4 linked regions of the Macaca mulatta genome follow. The protein of the gene in region 1 binds, or shares a complex with, the protein of each later gene. Links are inferred from orthologs where the notes say so. Each region holds a gene or a part of one and is shown in the gene's direction. Other genes may lie near its edges.

Region 1 (3,562 bases):
CTCACTATGTTGCCCAGGCTGGTCTAGAACTCTTGGCCTCTAGGGGTCCTCCAATCTCAGCCTCCTGACATGCTAGGATTACAAGTGTGAGCCACCACTCCTGGTCCCATTCATTCATTCATTCATTCACTCAGTCACTCATACATTCAACTGCCATTTCCTGAGCACGTCCTGTGTGCCCAGCACTGTGCTACATGCTGACGGTACAACAGTGAGCCACGCAAGTACAGCAGGGGACACGAGGGGACCCACACACAAGCAGATCCCAGCCACTCTGGAACACAGGGACAGGCTTCCCCAAGGAAGTGGCATGTGAGGAGGCTGGAGGTTGAGTAGACATCATACAGGTTGGGATGTGGGGGAAGGGTGTTCCTGGCAGCCGGAACAGTGTGTGCAAAGGGGCTGGGGTGAGTGGGGCTAAAGGGAGCACAAACAGGCCAGCACTTGGAGGGAAGTTGGGAGCAGGTGCAGGTCAAGCTGGGTGGTCGGCAGAGCCAGATCTGGAGGGTACCCGACTGGAGCTGGTGGGCCAACCGGGAGCCTATTGCTGCACCCAGGAGATGGTGGTGAGGAAGCGGGTGGTGCCGGCAGAAGAGAGGAGTGGGGCAATTCCAGAAAATCCAAGAATGGCATTTCCAGGGCTCCACGACTGGGCACTGGGGGAAAGGTCTGTTTCTGATGTCTGGTCGGTTTCTGGCTTCGATGGATAGTGGCACCATGGAAGGATGGTGAGCTGAGAAGAGGCGATTGATTCCCAGGGAGGATGGCAATGGGCATCAGGTACACCCAGGCAGGACTTGCCTTTGTGCTCTCAGGTCCCCCTGCCTCCCTCTGGCTCCGTCCTTCTGCCCTCTACTCCCCTCTGCCCTGAGGACACCTGAGAGCTGAGGAACCCCACTGCCCCCTGGCACCCACACCCGGGGAGGGCACAGGCGAGGCGGCACCTCCTCTGGCTGCCAGGCCATTTCTGATCAGCCTGCATGCCTCTCTCTGGGCAGGGGCAGCTGCTCTGCTGCTCTTAGGGGGCATCTGCTGGGGTCTTTGCCCTCTCCTCTGCCCTGGACACCTCTCAAAAAGGGGCCTCACGTGCCTCTTGGAGCCTCCAGCCTGGGCTCATCTGTGGGGACCCGGGAGACTCAGTCCCTATCTCTGTCCCCCGCTCACTCCCCCAGGCCACCTTGAACAGAGGATCCTGCAGGTGCTGACAGAGGCTGGCTCCCCAGTGAAGCTTGCCCAGCTGGTGAAGGAATGCCAAGCACCCAAGAGGGAGCTCAACCAAGTCCTCTACCGAATGCTAAAGGAGCTGAAAGTCTCCCTCACAGCCCCCGCCACCTGGCGCTTGGGCGGGACTGGTCCTGGAGGCGAGGGTCCTGCAGAGCTGGCCCTGTCCAGCCCTGGTAACTGCCACCCTGGGGAGGTGGGTCTGACCAGGCAGGGACCATCCTGGCAATGGACAAGCACAGATTTGAGCCTGGGTTCGAATCTGAGTTCTGCCACTTGGGAGCTCATGGGTTTCATCTCTGTGCCTTGGTTTCTTTTTCTGGTTGATGGAGCTGACAGCAGGGCTGCTTGGTAGGGGTTGCTGAGAGAAGGCCTTGCATCAGGCTCAGCCCAGCCCTGCACACAGAAAGTACTCAGCGGAACACTAACAATTATAACAGAAAATCATCATGATGGAAACAGCAATGACATGATGGTCCTAATCACAGAACACACTCAGTCCCACCAGCCCCCCTTTTCTAGCTTTACAGCCCACAGCCAGAAAGAGCTGCCATTTGTCATGCACTTAAGATTAGCTGGGCACTGTTTCAGGGTTCACCCAGCCCTCACACAACCCCAGGAGGCAAAGCAGGCTGAGCCCCGGAGAAGTAAACCAGCAGGAAGCCGCAGCTGCCAGGGCACAGGCAGGACTTGATGTCAAGTGTGTTTAACTCTGGAGTCTGAGTTTGCAACTACCGGCGTTGCAGCTCACCCTAGGGTGCTGCCCACCTTTGTGGGGTGGAGCCCTGGTGCTGTTTTCTGTCCCCCACCCCTCTGACCCGTCTTTCTTTCTCCAGCCGAGAGGCCCCAGCAATGTGTAGCTACAGTTCCAGAGACCCCTAGCCCTCAGTTCAGCCAACAGCGGGGTAAGTCATTGCATGCCCCTTCAGCTCCCGGGACACAGGATCCCACTCCTCAGGAACCCCAGGCCCTCCTTGAGGGTACGAGATCTCACCAGTGTTCAGGGGCCCTGTCCCACCCACCAGGTGGCTCCCAAACAGTGTTCAGAGCCAAGACCCAGCCCTGACAGCGGGAGAATCTGAATGTCGAGCAGTGATTTCTCCAGTCAGACAATAGCTGACCCTCACCATGCACCCACCATGTGCCAGGCCCAGGGCAGAGCACTGCGTGCACATCCCCCATCCTCAGGGCACCTCTGCGGTGCGTCATCATGACCCCGTTATCGTGGTGCCCATTTTACAGATGAGGAAACCAGGCCTCGAGGGGCTGGGTCCAGGGCCACACAGCTAGAAAGCGGTGGGTGAGGCAGATGCAAATTCTAGGACTCCTCTCTAACCACGTGGCCGTCCTGCCTCCCAGAGGAAGACATCTACAGGTTTCTCAAAGACAATGGTCCCCAGAGGGCCCTGGTCATCGCCCAGGCACTGGGAATGAGGACAGCAAAAGATGTGAACCCAGACTTGTACAGGATGAAGAGCAGGCACCTTCTGGACGTGGATGAGCAGTCCAAAGTGTGGACGATTTACTGCCCAGGTAGGCCCCCAGCTGCCTGCACCTGGGCTGCAGAGGGAAACCATGACACTAGCGCTTGGTCTTTGCTGGGTGCTCTGCTGAGAAGCTCACCAGAAACTGCCAGAAGCTTCTGGAGGTCCCACTGACAGTTCACTGCAAGGGCTTCCAGGAGGAAGGGGTGTGCTGGCAGGATTAACCAGGAACAGCTTCCTGGAGTCGTGGCCCAAGGGCTGCAGTTGCAGAAGGCCAGCGAATGGGATGGAGGTGGCCCATTCCCAATGTTCTCAGCTCTGAGGTGCAGGTATCAGTCTGGGTTTGGGAATAGTTTTCTTTGAGCACTTTGCCCAAGTTGGGGTTTTAAAGTTGGCAGAAGAGAAGGCAAGACTAGGCTCAGACCCCTACTGGGTGGAGCCCCAGGGTCGTCTTCCCTGTGAGATCTAATAGGCGCAGGGCCAAGATCCAACAGGCCCATGGCACTCTTACGGGTCCTTGAAAATGTTTTAATTTTAATTTCATTTAAAATCAGAAGAAATGAATACTATAATAATAATGAATATCTAAAAATGGACCAGGCGTGGTCGCTCATGCCGGTAATCCTAGCACTTTGGGAGGCTGAGGCAGGCGGATCACCTGAGGTCAGCCTGGCCAACATGGCAACCCCCTGTCTCTACTAAAAATACAAAAATTAGCCAGGCCTGGTGGCCGGCGCCTGTAATCCCAGCTACTCGGGAGGCTGAGGTAGGAGAATAGCTTGAACCTGGGAGGCAGAGGTTGCAGTGAGCTGAGATCACACCACTGCACTCCAGCCTGGGCAACAAAAGTGAAACTC
Region 2 (4,309 bases), on another chromosome or scaffold:
GGAGTTAGTGTGTCATAGAAAAATCTCTGTTTTGGCCCAGCAGGACTGAGTTTGACTCCATGGAACTGTTTGAGCCTTAGTTTCTTCATCCATAACATGGGAGAACAATACCCTGAATTGCTGCAAGAATTAGAGATAGTTCATGTCAAGGTGTAACATACAGGTAATATGTTACTTCTGGTGTTCTGGTTATAAAATGTACAAGATGTGCAAGCAAAAGGGCAGAAAACCCTTTTTAAAAATTCATGGCTGGGTGTAGTGGCTCACACCTGTAATCCCAGAACTTTGGGAGGCCGAGGTGGGTGGATCACCTGAGGTTATGAGTTTGAGACCAGCCTGACCAACATGGAGAAACCCTGTCTCTACTAAAAATCCAAAATTAGCCACGCATGGTGGTGCATGCCTGTAATCCCAGCTACCCAGGAGGCTGAGGCAGGAGAATCACTTGAACCCGGGAGGCGGAGGTTGCTGTGAGCCGAGATGGCGCCATTGCACTCCAGCCTGGGTAACAAGAGCGAAAATCCATCCCAAAAAAAAGAAAAAAAAAATTCACATGGGAAACAGAGGCGGATGGCAGAGAACAGGGGAGTGGCTGGGCACGGTGGCTCATGCCTCTAATCCTAGCACTTTGGGAGGCCAAGGTGGGTGAATTCCTTGAGGTCAGGAGTTCGAGACCAGTCTGACCAACATGGTGAAAACCCGTCTCTACTGAAAATACAAAAATTAGCCAGGCGTGGTGGTGGGTGCCTGTAGTCCCAGCTACTTGGGAGGCTGAGAGGCAGGAGAATCACTTCAACCCAGGAGGTGGAGGTTGCAGTGAGCCAAGACCGCACCACTGTACTGTTACACGGACAACAGACTGAGACTCCATCTCAAAAAAAAAAAAAAAAAAAAAAAAAAGAGAACAAGGGAGGGTCTGGGGTTCAGAGCTTTGGGGAACAGACCTCAGTAGCACCAACACTCCAGGATCAATGCTACAAAGACACGGGTTACAACTAAACTGGAGAACATGGCCAAAGAAGGGAACTGAAGTGTCCTGGCTCAGCCCTATTTAGGGCTGTTTAGCTCTGTTTAGGGCTGAGCCAAGTAGGGCTGAGTCAGAACACTTCCTCCTTTTTTTGTGAACAGTCTACCTACATTTCAGCTACAGGGGTGGCTTCACCCAGTCCGTAGGGAGGGAGGAGAGGGCTGGTCTATGACTTCAGTGCTGAGGTTTGGATCAAGGCAGAGGGAAACTTCCTCTTCCCAGACCCTTTGCAAGGAAGAATGGCATATTACTTGTCACCGACAGGGGTTATGATTACTAAATGGAGTCAGTATAAATGCTTTCCAATAAAGCACGTCCAGCGCTCGGGGTTTTAGTTTTGCATGTCCATGAAATGTCTGCCACCTCCCTCTTCTGAATGGTTGGAAATTGGGCATCTGTTCCTTTAAATAGGAAACATTTCTTGTTCGGGTGAGTCATCTCTGTTCTGCTTTAGGAGTAAAATTTACCCTGCAGTTCATTCTGCTGTGAAGTTTTCTCTTTCTCTTGGAGACCAGGTTCTGCCCTTCTGCTGGAGGGAAGTGTTTTCACAGGTTCTCCTCCTTTTATCTCTTGTGTTTTTTTTTCAAGCCTCCTGAATTTGCTAGTCAACTCAACAGGAAGTGAGGCGGTGGAGGGAGGCAGAAGAGCCAGGGTGGTTACTGAAAGTAAAAGAAACTTCTTCCTGGGAGCCTGTCCCACCCCCTTCCCCACTGAGCACGTGGAGTTAGGCAGGTTAGGGGGCTCAGAGACTGCGATGGTGCCAGGAAAGGGTGGAGCGGGTGAGTGCCTGTTGCCGAGGTGGCCTCTTCAACAGGAAACCACATATTTTTGTTTCTTGAGTTGCTCTAGAAACAGGGCTGTGGGGGCGGGGAAGAAGCTTGGATCTGCCCGGCTGAGGACACCTCTGGGTGCTGCCTGGCCAGGTCTCCTGTGGGGTTTCTCTCTGAGCTGTTGCCTCTGATCTTGCTACTTTTTCACTCTGAGCAGTCTCCATTTCCTCTGCTGCCTTTTTGTCCTCCCAGCTTCCCTACTGCCTGGAATACAGATACACGGTCTCCCTCCTGTGAACCCGTTTGGAGAGTCCAGAAAACTTTATCAATCCACTTTTTTTTTCTTTTTCATTTGGCTCTGGGGCCGAGGGTTAAGTTCTTTATTCTGTCGAATCACAGTGCCCTGAGGTGCACAGACCGCTTACCCCTCTTCCGTGTCTTAAGGGTTTCCTTTTATGTCTCCACCCCCACCCCTGCCCTCCTGCCCTCTCTCTTGCTCCCCAAAGATAATTCTCTAATGTTTTGATGTGGATTCGTGAATTTATCTGTATCTTTGCAAAATGTATTTTTCTTTTGTATATGTACACTGTTTTTTAACTATGCCATCTCAGGCAAGTAAGTAATTCCTCTGTACCTCTGTTATCTCATTGTTAAATGGGATTAATAATGCCTTGAGAGGTGACTGTGAGGCTTGAAGGAGATAATACGCACACATCACTTACTACATGAGTTAGCAATTATTATTGCATATTAATACTATTGGCATTTTATTTTACTCATTCTGTTTCTATTTCTTTTTTATTTATTTATTTTTTGAGACAAGATCTTGCTTTGTCACCCAAGGCTGGAGTGCAGTGGTGCAATCATGGCTCACTGTAGCCTCGACATCTTGGGATCAAGCAATGTTCCCATCTCAGCCTTCAGATTAACTGGGACCACAGTCGTGTGCTACCACACCTGGCTAATTCAAAAATTTTTCTTCATAGAGATGGTGTCTCACTATGTTGCCCAGGCTGGTCTCAAACTCCTACGCTCAAGGGATCCTCCCGCCTTGGCCTCCCAAAGTGCTAGGATTACAGGCATGAGCCACTGTGGCCATCCAGGCATTGATGTTATCAGGCCACCTTGACCTAGCCCTCTCTGGTGAAGAGTCCTTTTCAGATACTTCATTCAGTCTTCTCAGCTATGAGTCCCTGCCCTCTGAAAGCTTATATTCTATTTGGGGAAAGACAAAAGGCAGTTTCAAAGAAGAGAGGTGCTTGATTTTCTTTTCCTACTTTTAACATCAGAAAACATTTCGTCTAACTCTCAGTATGAAGGCAATCTTTTGTTTACTGATCTGTCCCTAGAGCCCAACATGGTGAGGGCCCCAGGATTTGCCTCTTTGATAAGATGGTAAACCCATCTTGTGGCTAACTTCGTGGTGTCCCCAGCTACACTCATATACAAGGATCACCTTTGGTAAGATAGGGTTACCATCTTACCAAAGAGTTTTTGCATTTTAGAGGTTTTTCTTTTTAGATTTTTTTCATTTTAGAATTTTTTTATTTCAGAGTTTTTTTCTTTTTAGAGGTTTTTCATTTTAGAGTTTTTTCTTTTTTAGAGTTTTTTTTTTTTTTTTTTTTTTTTTTTTTTTTTTTTTAGAGTTTTTTAGGCGGCTGAGAGTGGAATCTGGTGACTTGGGGCCACAGAGATGCTCCTTGGCTAAACCAGGGGCTTTAGCTCTGAACGTTCACAGTCACCCTGAGAACCAAGATGAGGGCTCTGCGATGTCCAATCTCAAGACTTCTCCGAGGTGCTCCATCAAGATTCATTGAATGAAAAAATTAAAGTCTTAATGATGAACCCAGAAAAATCTTTAAATCCTAAATACGAAATGAAAGTGTTCTTAGTTACAATCCAGTCCAACGTCCTCATTTTGGAATGTGGAAATGAGGCCCCAAAGGTAAAATGGCCCATCATAGCCAGGGGCCAGTGCTCAGGTGGCCAGATGCCCCGCCCCACCCTGCAGGCAGTCTCTTGGACCATCAGGCCTTTTTCCTCCAGCTTTAGAAGCTTTAGAAGGTGCTCTGTTCACTCAGGGGCAAGTGGTAAGCGTTCCCTCCCCTCTAGTGTTTGTGACTTAGGAGTTTCGAAACAGGAAGTACAGCTGGCTGTGCCCTTCATCCTTCATTAGATGTTTGCTCTTGTCTTAGATGCTCAGATGGCAGTGGAGAGGCCTGTAACAAAGGTGTTACCATCGTGAGAGTAAGGTAAGGATTTGCCCCTTTGTTAAGGTCAGAGGGGCCTTTTGGGAGAAGGCCTTTGATTCTGGAGTTTTTTAGGCTGCTGAGAGTGAGGTTGGGTGGCCCTGGGGCTATGGAGGTGATCCTCATATGTGAGTGTGGATGGGAAACCATGAAGTTAGTGGAAGAGGTAGCAGTCCCTCTGAGAGCCTTGCCGAGGGCCGTGCAGTTTCCAGATCTTGAGGCCAGTCTGGCTTAGACTGATTAAGTGCTAGGAGTTTCTGAAA
Region 3 (3,562 bases), on another chromosome or scaffold:
GCTCTGGAAGTCATTAATTGCTAATAATGTCAAACATCTTTTTTATGTTTATTGGATACTTGAGCAAATTGCTCATTCACATCTTTTGCACACTTTTCAAATAGACTGTTTATTGTTTTCTTAGTGATACATGGTTCTCCATGTATTCCAAAAGCAAAACTTCTATTAGCTATATATATATATATGTATATTTCAGGTATCTGCCCAGTTTTTGCCTTATATAAACACTTTGTTTAGTGTGTGTGTGTGCACGTGTGTGTGTGTTTCCTACAAAGAAATTAAGAATATGCATGCAATCACATTTGACAAAGTTTGTTTTTTTTTCTGGCTTGTCCTTTTTGTGCCTTGTTTAAGAAACCTCCTTCTACTTCAATGTATTGAGAAATTCTGTGTTTTATTCAACATCATTACTATTCTGTTTAGATAATTAATCCAGCCAGATATATATTTGTGTATGATATAAGAGAAAGGCCAAATATATCATTCCCCGAATATTATCATTTGACTGAATACTTTTTATAGTTGGCCATTCTTTCCTTGTGATTTTTAACGCCACTTTGATTATGTACCATGCTTTAACTTACATGTGGTCCTGTTTCCACACTCTATTTATTAGTTCATTTTTCTCTATGCAACTGCCATATCGATTTAATTATTATACATTTGTAGTAAGTATTGATACCTAGTAGTAGGGATACTACATCCTAATAAACAATTCAACATGTTTTGCAGGTTTTTGTCTTTATTTTTTTCATTTAGGTTTTAATATCATTCTGATAAGTTCTATGAAAAACCCTTTGAGATTTTGGATGGGAGTTTATAGATTAATTTGACAACATTGCTGTCTTCATTTTATCAAGTTTTCCCATTTAAAATATCACACATACACCCACTTAAGTAGGTCTTTTAAATCTCCCAATGAAGTTTTATAAGGTTCCCTTTAAAACTCTTAAATATATTGTATTAGATGTTCTTATGTACTTTGTAGTTTTGTTGCTATTGGAAATTACTTTTTTACGTGATTTTTTTCACTCTTGGAGTGGTGCTAGAATAAAGGAATGCATTTCTGCATATTAATCTTATAGTTACAAACTTTTGAATTATTATTTATAATGTTTTGTGTATTATTTTGGATACTATACATAAACAACTATATTACTACAATGTGATTTTGGCAACAAGATACAAAAATAGGTTGATGGACAGAATAAAGAATCCAGAAATAGACTCACTCATATTTGGACAACTGATTTTTGCAAAGGTAAAAAAAATCGTTAAAAAGGATAGTCTTTTTAATATACGGTTCTGGGAAATTTCATATTCATATGAAAAATAAATGAACTTTGAGTCATTGCTTATACTATATACAAAATAACTCAAAACGGTACATACACCCAAATAAAATGATTAAACCATAATATTTTTAGAGGAAAACATAAAATCTTCTCATCTTGAGATTGGAAAAGATTTCTTAAATAAGACAGTGAAAGCATGATCCATGAAAGAACAAATTGATTAATTGCACTTCATCAGGTATATGTATATGCCAAAATTTATCAGATTGTATACTTCCAATATATGCACTGTGTTGTATGCCAGTTATGCCTCGATAAATCTATTTTAAAAATAAAAGGAAAATGTATCCTGTTTCCTTTTTGTTGTAGTGTTTTTTTTTTTTGTTTGTTTGTTTGTTTGTTTTGAGACAAAGTTTTGCTCTTGTCGCCCAAGCTGGAGTGCAATGGCGCGATCTTGGCTCACTGTGACCTCCGCCCCCTGGTTCAAGTGATTCTCCTGCCTCAGCCTCCTGAGTAGTTGGGATTACAGGCCCCCACCACCACGCCCGGCTAATTTTTGTATTTTTAGTAGAGATGGGGTTTTGCCATATTGGCCAGGCTGGTCTCAAACTCCTGACCTCAGGTGATCCGCCCGCTTTGGCCTTCCAAAGTGCTGGGATTACAGGCGTGAGCTACCATGCCCAGCTGATGTATCCTGTTTTCTAAGAATTCCAGAGGTGTTGTATACTTTCTGAAGATGTCTTTCCCAGGAATAGGGATCACCTTGCTTAAGAAGTTCTTACCTATGTCCCATTCAAATCTCTTTTACTACTGCAAACATTTTGTTTATTTTTCTTTAAAAATATTAATAGCTCACCTTGCTTTATTTTGAATGTAGAATCCCTTTTGGTGTTGTAATCTTACATGCTTTGGATTCCTTATAGGTTGATCCCAAAGTCGTCAGATGGAGAGTAAATACAAGGAGATACTCTTGCTAACAGGCCTGGATAACATCACTGATGAGGAACTGGATAGGTTTAAGTTCTTTCTTTCAGACGAGTTTAATGTCGCCACAGGCAAACTACGTACTGCAAACAGAATACAAGTAGCTAACTTGATGATTCAAAATGCTGGTGCAGTGACTGCAGTGAAGAAGACCATTCTTATTTTTCAGAAGTTGAATTATATGCTTTTGGCAAAACGTCTTCAGGAAGAGAAGGAGAAAGGTAATGTGGTAGTCCCGCACCTGCCCAGTCCCTTTCTCTGCCAAGCCTGGGCCTTTCCTTTCATGGCGTCCCTGGGATATGACCCCCAGTGCACACTGTTGGAATTTGTTTGCTAACTTAGTGCACCTGTCTCTTTGCCCCCTTTTACTGAGAATCACTTGTAGGAAGTGTTTGTTACAAATTCCACAAATCCATTCCAGCCTTGGTTTGCATCTCTTGTTCCAGCCTTTAGGGTGACCACTTCCATTTATCATCTTTTCTCCTTGCCCATCTTTGTCTCCAGTTCAATTACAGTGAATATGGATGTAGAATTTCAAAGTTAACTTTTCCCAACTCCATTTCCACAGTATGTAATGCTCTCACATTCTACTGAAGTCTCAAAAATATAAATTATTGCATTGGAAAATTGTAAACCAGGATATTGAGCACCTTTTTTTCCTTCACACAGTCTGTTTATTTCTCTCCATGTCCCTATCTTTCTATGGTCCCAGACTATGCTGCTTTCTTTAGGGGATGATCTCCTCCTTCTTCAGGGAGGGAGAATCCTCCTTCAGGGATTCTCTCTCCTCTCTATCTCCAGTGACAGTATAAATTACCCACAGCAAAAAGACTTTTTTAACATTATTCAATAAATCACTCATCATCTCCATCTGAATTATATACATTTAGTTTAAATTCCTGATTTTGTTTACCAAGAACAATTGATACGTCCCGGCTTCATGTCTGAAGAACAAAAAAGAGCTAACAAAGGAGCATATCACTCCAGGACTGTCCCAAATGAGAGTCTCCAAATGCAACAGTTTTAGGATTCAAAGTAAAACCGTAACAGCAAAGATTACAACAGCTTTTAATAGCATTTGTGGGTGTACAACACGGTGACATGGCTTCTCACACATGGTTTATAAGAAGGTTAAATGAAGCCACATAAGTGATACTATGTAGGTCCATAATTCTATACAGATGTAAACTGTGAGGTAGTTTCTAAGGCACTAATGAGAAAGGAGTGGTTGTTTTCCCAGGCTTTAAGTTAGAAGGTGTAGTTCTTTAAGATGGCCCTTAGAT
Region 4 (4,341 bases), on another chromosome or scaffold:
GCAGGAGACGATGTTGTGAAGTGGTTTGATGTTTGGATCCTGGCTCTGGGCAAGTCACTAAGCTACAGATTCTTGGCTGCAGAGGAGGATGATAAATGCAGTCCTGCAGGGTACAGTCCTAGAGATTCTAGGAGGTAGTGTTTATAAAGCAAGTGGTGGCTGGTGCAGAGGAAGTGCTGGTGAAGGGTAAACTGCATTATTAACAAAACTTCTGGACGGGCACAGTGGCCAGATTACAGGGATTACACACCTGTAATCCCAGCACTTTGGGAGGCCAAAGCGAGTGGATCGCTTGAGCTCAGGAGTTCAAGACCAGCCTGTGCAACATAGTGAGACCCTGTCTCTATAAAAAAATACAAAAATTAGCCGGATGTGGTGGCATGCAGCTGTAGTCCCAGCGACTTGGGAGGCTGAGGTTGGAGGGTTGCTCAAGCCCAGGAGGCAGAAGTTGCATTGAGCCAAGATCCTGCCACTGCACTGCAGCCTGAGTGACTGAGCAAGACCCTATCTAAAAACAAAAAATTAAAAAATTAGGGTATGCAAGTAATTTTTTATTTTTTTGAGACAAAGTCCTGCTCTGTCGCCCAGGCTGGAGTACAATGGCACAATCTCGGCTCACTGCAACATCCGCCTCCCGCGTTTAAGCGATTCTCCTGCCTCAGCTTCCCGAGTAGCTGGGAATACAGGCGCGTGCCACCATGCCTGGCTAATTTTTGTATTTTTAGTAGAGATGGGGTTTTACTATGTTGGCCAGGCTGGTCTTGAACTCCCAACCTGAGGTGATCCACTCACCTTGGCCTCCCAAAGTGCTGGGATTACAGGCGTGAGCCACCACGTCCAGCCCCCGACATGTAACTTCTGTTAGCTTCAAAGCCACCTCTGGGGCCCTGCACCAGACTATGAGCTGAAGGACACCCGTGCCTTTTCACCCCTGTAGCTCCAGCATCCTGGCACACTGTCTAGAATGTTCAGTGAATGTGCACGGAAGGGCATTCTGGCTCCAGGGAGTGAGAACTGAGTCAGCTCTGGGAACAGATGAGTCAGGCTGGTGGTCGAGGCATTGCTTTTCAAGCCCTTCATGTGGCTGGAAGAACCAGACAACTGGAACTGGATCAACAGGGGTGATGGCGTGGCAAGAGTTATCCCCCGGCAGTGCCCTTCTGGCCTCACTTGCCTTCTTGGGCCAGGAAAGGCAAAGCTCACGGGGCTGTATTTACTGCCCACCCCTTCCCCCATCCCATGCCATTGGCTCTGGAGGGTCTGTGAAACCCTGAGTCTGGAGGAGAACAGTTGACCAGCAGGGCTGGCCCTCAGCATAGTCCTCTCTGTTCCCATTCACCCGCTCTGCCAGCCCCAGATCCTGGCAGGAAGGGAGATTGGAGGGGTTGTCTGGAATCCAATCCTAGACCTTCCCTTGCAGACTTGCCCACCTGTCTGTGGTCTAGTGTGGAGATGAGGTCCAGGGTTTGGGAGGGGTGTGGGGACAGATGTCTGCCAAGGCACTGAGCCCTCCCAGCTGGAAAATCCTCTGAACCTGTGAGAAGAGAACACAGCCAGCATGGACACACCCTTACCCTTAGTCTCAGTTCCCACCAAGACACAGAGCATTTCCTGTGCCTTTTCCGCTATTTCACAACCTGCTTTTTCTTGCTCACCAAGGTAGAGGCTTCTTCTCCTGCCAGAAGCCAGACAGCTAGCTCCAGCGTCTCCTGCTCAGCGCCATGGCCAAGACCCCTAGTGACCATCTGCTGTCCACCCTGGAGGAGCTGGTGCCCTATGACTTTGAGAAGTTCAAGTTCAAGCTGCAGAACACCAGTGTGGAGAAGGAGCACTCCAGGATCCCCCGGAGCCAGATCCAGAGAGCCAGGCCAGTGAAGATGGCCAGTCTGCTGGTCACCTACTACGGGGAAGAGTACGCTGTGCGGCTAACCCTGCAGGTCCTGCGGGCCATCAACCAGCGCCTGCTGGCTGAGGAGCTCCACAGGGCAGCCGTTCAGGGTAAGCGGGCCCAGGCTGCCTCCTCACCCAGCACTGAGGCCTGGTTGCTTTGTGGGAAAAGGGACCAGGAGCTCAGAGCAGCTCACTCTGACTTGGGGGTCGGGAGTCTCAGGTCTACCAAGATCCAGGTGACTTTAGTTCAGGAACGTCCCTTCCTTCACTCTGGCTTTTGGCACTGGGTTAGTAAACTTCCTTAAGGCTCCCAATGGGTTTTAAAGAAGCAGGTCAGGGTCAGGAAAGGCAGGAGCTGGAGCACCTATTCTTTGAGACTTCTTCACTTCATTTATGATTAATACTCATGTCAGACAAACATCTCTAGGTTAGCAAAAAGGGATTGCTATGCAATCGTATGAACGGGGCTGGTATAGAATCTTTTCAGTGCTGTTCACCATGTTGGCCAGGCTGGTCTCAAACTCCCGACCTCAAGTGATCCTCCCGCCTCAGCCTCCCAAAGTGCTGGGATTTCAGGCATGGACCACCGTGCCTGGTTTATTTTTATTTTTGAAATGTATAATCTGGGTTTTGCTGACCTGTGTAAGATCTTATTTGAAACAGTTGTCCTGCTTACAACGTTTGAAAAGTACTATTTGAGGAATACATGGTGGCTCACACTTATAATCTCAGCACTCTGGGAGGCTAAAGTGGGTAGATTGCTAGAGCTCAGGAGTTCGAGACCAGCCTGGCCAACATGGTGAAACCCTGTCTCTACCAAAAATACAAAAAAAAGAGCCAGGTGTGGTGGCACACACCTGTATTCTCAGCTATTGAAAAAACAGAAAACAGGCTGATGTGAGAGGATCGCTTGAGCCTGGGAGGCAGAGGTTGCAGTGAGCCGAGATCACATCAGGGCCACAGAACAAGATCCGGTCTCAAAAAATAAAATAAGAGAGAGATAAATATGTAGCAACATCAAGCATGTTCTTACTGAATGGTAATTGACTGCCGTTGTCTAGGAAGTCCTGAACTTTTGTTTTTGAAATGGAGTCTCGCTTTGTCACTCAGGCTGGAGAGCAGTGGGGCAATCTCAGCTCACTGCAACCTCCACATCCCAGGCTCAAGCGATTCTCATGCCTCAGCCTCCAGAGTAGCTGGGACTACAGGTGCACACCACCACGTCTGGCTAAATTTCGTATTTTTAGTAGGAACGTGGTTTTGCCATGTTGGCCAGGCTGGTCTCGAACTCCTGACCTCAAATGATCCTCCCAACTTGGCCTCCCGAGAAGCTAGGATTACAGGCATATGCCACCACGCTCAGCTTATTTTTGTATTTTTAGTAGAGACAGGGTTTCACCCTGCTGGTCTTGAACTCCTGACCTCAGGTGATCCTCCCGCCTCAACCTCCCAGAGTGCTGGGAATACAGGCATGAGCCACCGTGCCCGGCCCGTTTTTTCCTCCATTTCTAAAGTTTAATATCCATGGGGATTCTCTCTCCTCTCCCCTGAATCTTGGGCCCTAAACGTGGGACAGCTTCATGACTTTGTAGCTGGTTGTCTTTCCAGAATATTCCACACAAGAAAATGGCACAGACGATTCCGCAGCGTCCAGCTCCCTGGAGGAGAACAAGCCCGGGAGCCTGAAGACTCCAGACCACCCCGAGGGGAAGGAGGGAAAGGAGGGGAACGGCCCTCGGTCGTGCGGGGACTGGGCTGCCAGCCTGCGGTACAGCCAGCCCGAGGCCGGGAGGGGGCTGTCAAGGAAGCCCTTGAGCAAACGCAGAGAGAAGGCCTCGGAGAGCCTGGACGTGCAGGGCAAGCCTCGAACCCGGAGCCCGGCCCTGCCGGGCGGGAGAAGCCCCGGCCCCAGCCCCTGCAGGGCGCCAGAGCCAGGCCAGGCCGAGGTCCTCCTGCGCAGGAACGCCAGCTCCGCGGGGAGGCTGCAGGGGCTGGCGGGGGGCGCGCCAGGGCGGAAGGAGTGCAGGCTCTTCGAAGTGTACCTGCCCTCGGGAAAGAAGCGGCCTAAAAGCCTTGAGTTCACCATTTCCACAGGGGAGAAGGCGCCCCCAAATCCAGAAACTCTCCTGACTGTAGAGGAAACGACAGCTGCGAATCCGGACTCGGCAACAGGCGCTCAGGCAAGGCCCACTCCGGATGGAGGGGCGTCTGCGGACCTGGAGAAAGGCCCTGGGAATCCAGAACATTCGGTCACCGGTAAATTGTGTTTTTTCCTACTTTATATCGGCTGCAAAGAAAGAACAGCTGGCGGGGCACGATAGCTCATGCCTGTAATCCCGGCACTTTGGGAGGCCAGGGCTGGAGGATTGCTGAGGCCAAGAGTTTGAGACCAGTCTGGTGAACATAGTGAGACCCCCGCCATGTCTATAAATAAAATTAAAAAAATAAAAA

Evidence for each region.
Region 2: ZBP1 (region 1) and CASP8 share a complex: the UniProt entries of both Homo sapiens proteins name them as parts of the AIM2 PANoptosome complex. The link is inferred for Macaca mulatta from reciprocal best matches to the Homo sapiens genes ZBP1 and CASP8.
Region 3: ZBP1 (region 1) and AIM2 share a complex: the UniProt entries of both Homo sapiens proteins name them as parts of the AIM2 PANoptosome complex. The link is inferred for Macaca mulatta from reciprocal best matches to the Homo sapiens genes ZBP1 and AIM2.
Region 4: ZBP1 (region 1) and MEFV share a complex: the UniProt entries of both Homo sapiens proteins name them as parts of the AIM2 PANoptosome complex. The link is inferred for Macaca mulatta from reciprocal best matches to the Homo sapiens genes ZBP1 and MEFV.

The regions. Positions count from the first base shown.
Region 1 is NC_133415.1:110,416,324-110,419,885, reverse strand, and holds part of ZBP1 (Z-DNA-binding protein 1), read left to right. Parts: exon of another isoform or gene 1-1,172; coding exon 1,173-1,397; intron 1,398-2,057; coding exon 2,058-2,126; intron 2,127-2,580; coding exon 2,581-2,754; intron 2,755-3,562.
Region 2 is NC_133417.1:106,371,418-106,375,726, forward strand, and holds the start of CASP8 (caspase-8), read left to right. Parts: upstream 1-1,450; 5' UTR 1,451-1,781; coding exon 1,782-1,806; intron 1,807-3,992; exon of another isoform or gene 3,993-4,049; intron 4,050-4,309. UniProt on the Homo sapiens protein: Thiol protease that plays a key role in programmed cell death by acting as a molecular switch for apoptosis, necroptosis and pyroptosis, and is required to prevent tissue damage during embryonic development and adulthood.
Region 3 is NC_133406.1:107,851,373-107,854,934, forward strand, and holds part of AIM2 (interferon-inducible protein AIM2), read left to right. Parts: intron 1-2,218; 5' UTR 2,219-2,238; coding exon 2,239-2,500; intron 2,501-3,562. UniProt on the Homo sapiens protein: Sensor component of the AIM2 inflammasome, which mediates inflammasome activation in response to the presence of double-stranded DNA (dsDNA) in the cytosol, leading to subsequent pyroptosis.
Region 4 is NC_133425.1:4,490,019-4,494,359, reverse strand, and holds the start of MEFV (pyrin), read left to right. Parts: upstream 1-1,522; 5' UTR 1,523-1,721; coding exon 1,722-1,998; intron 1,999-3,498; coding exon 3,499-4,146; intron 4,147-4,341. UniProt on the Homo sapiens protein: Involved in the regulation of innate immunity and the inflammatory response in response to IFNG/IFN-gamma.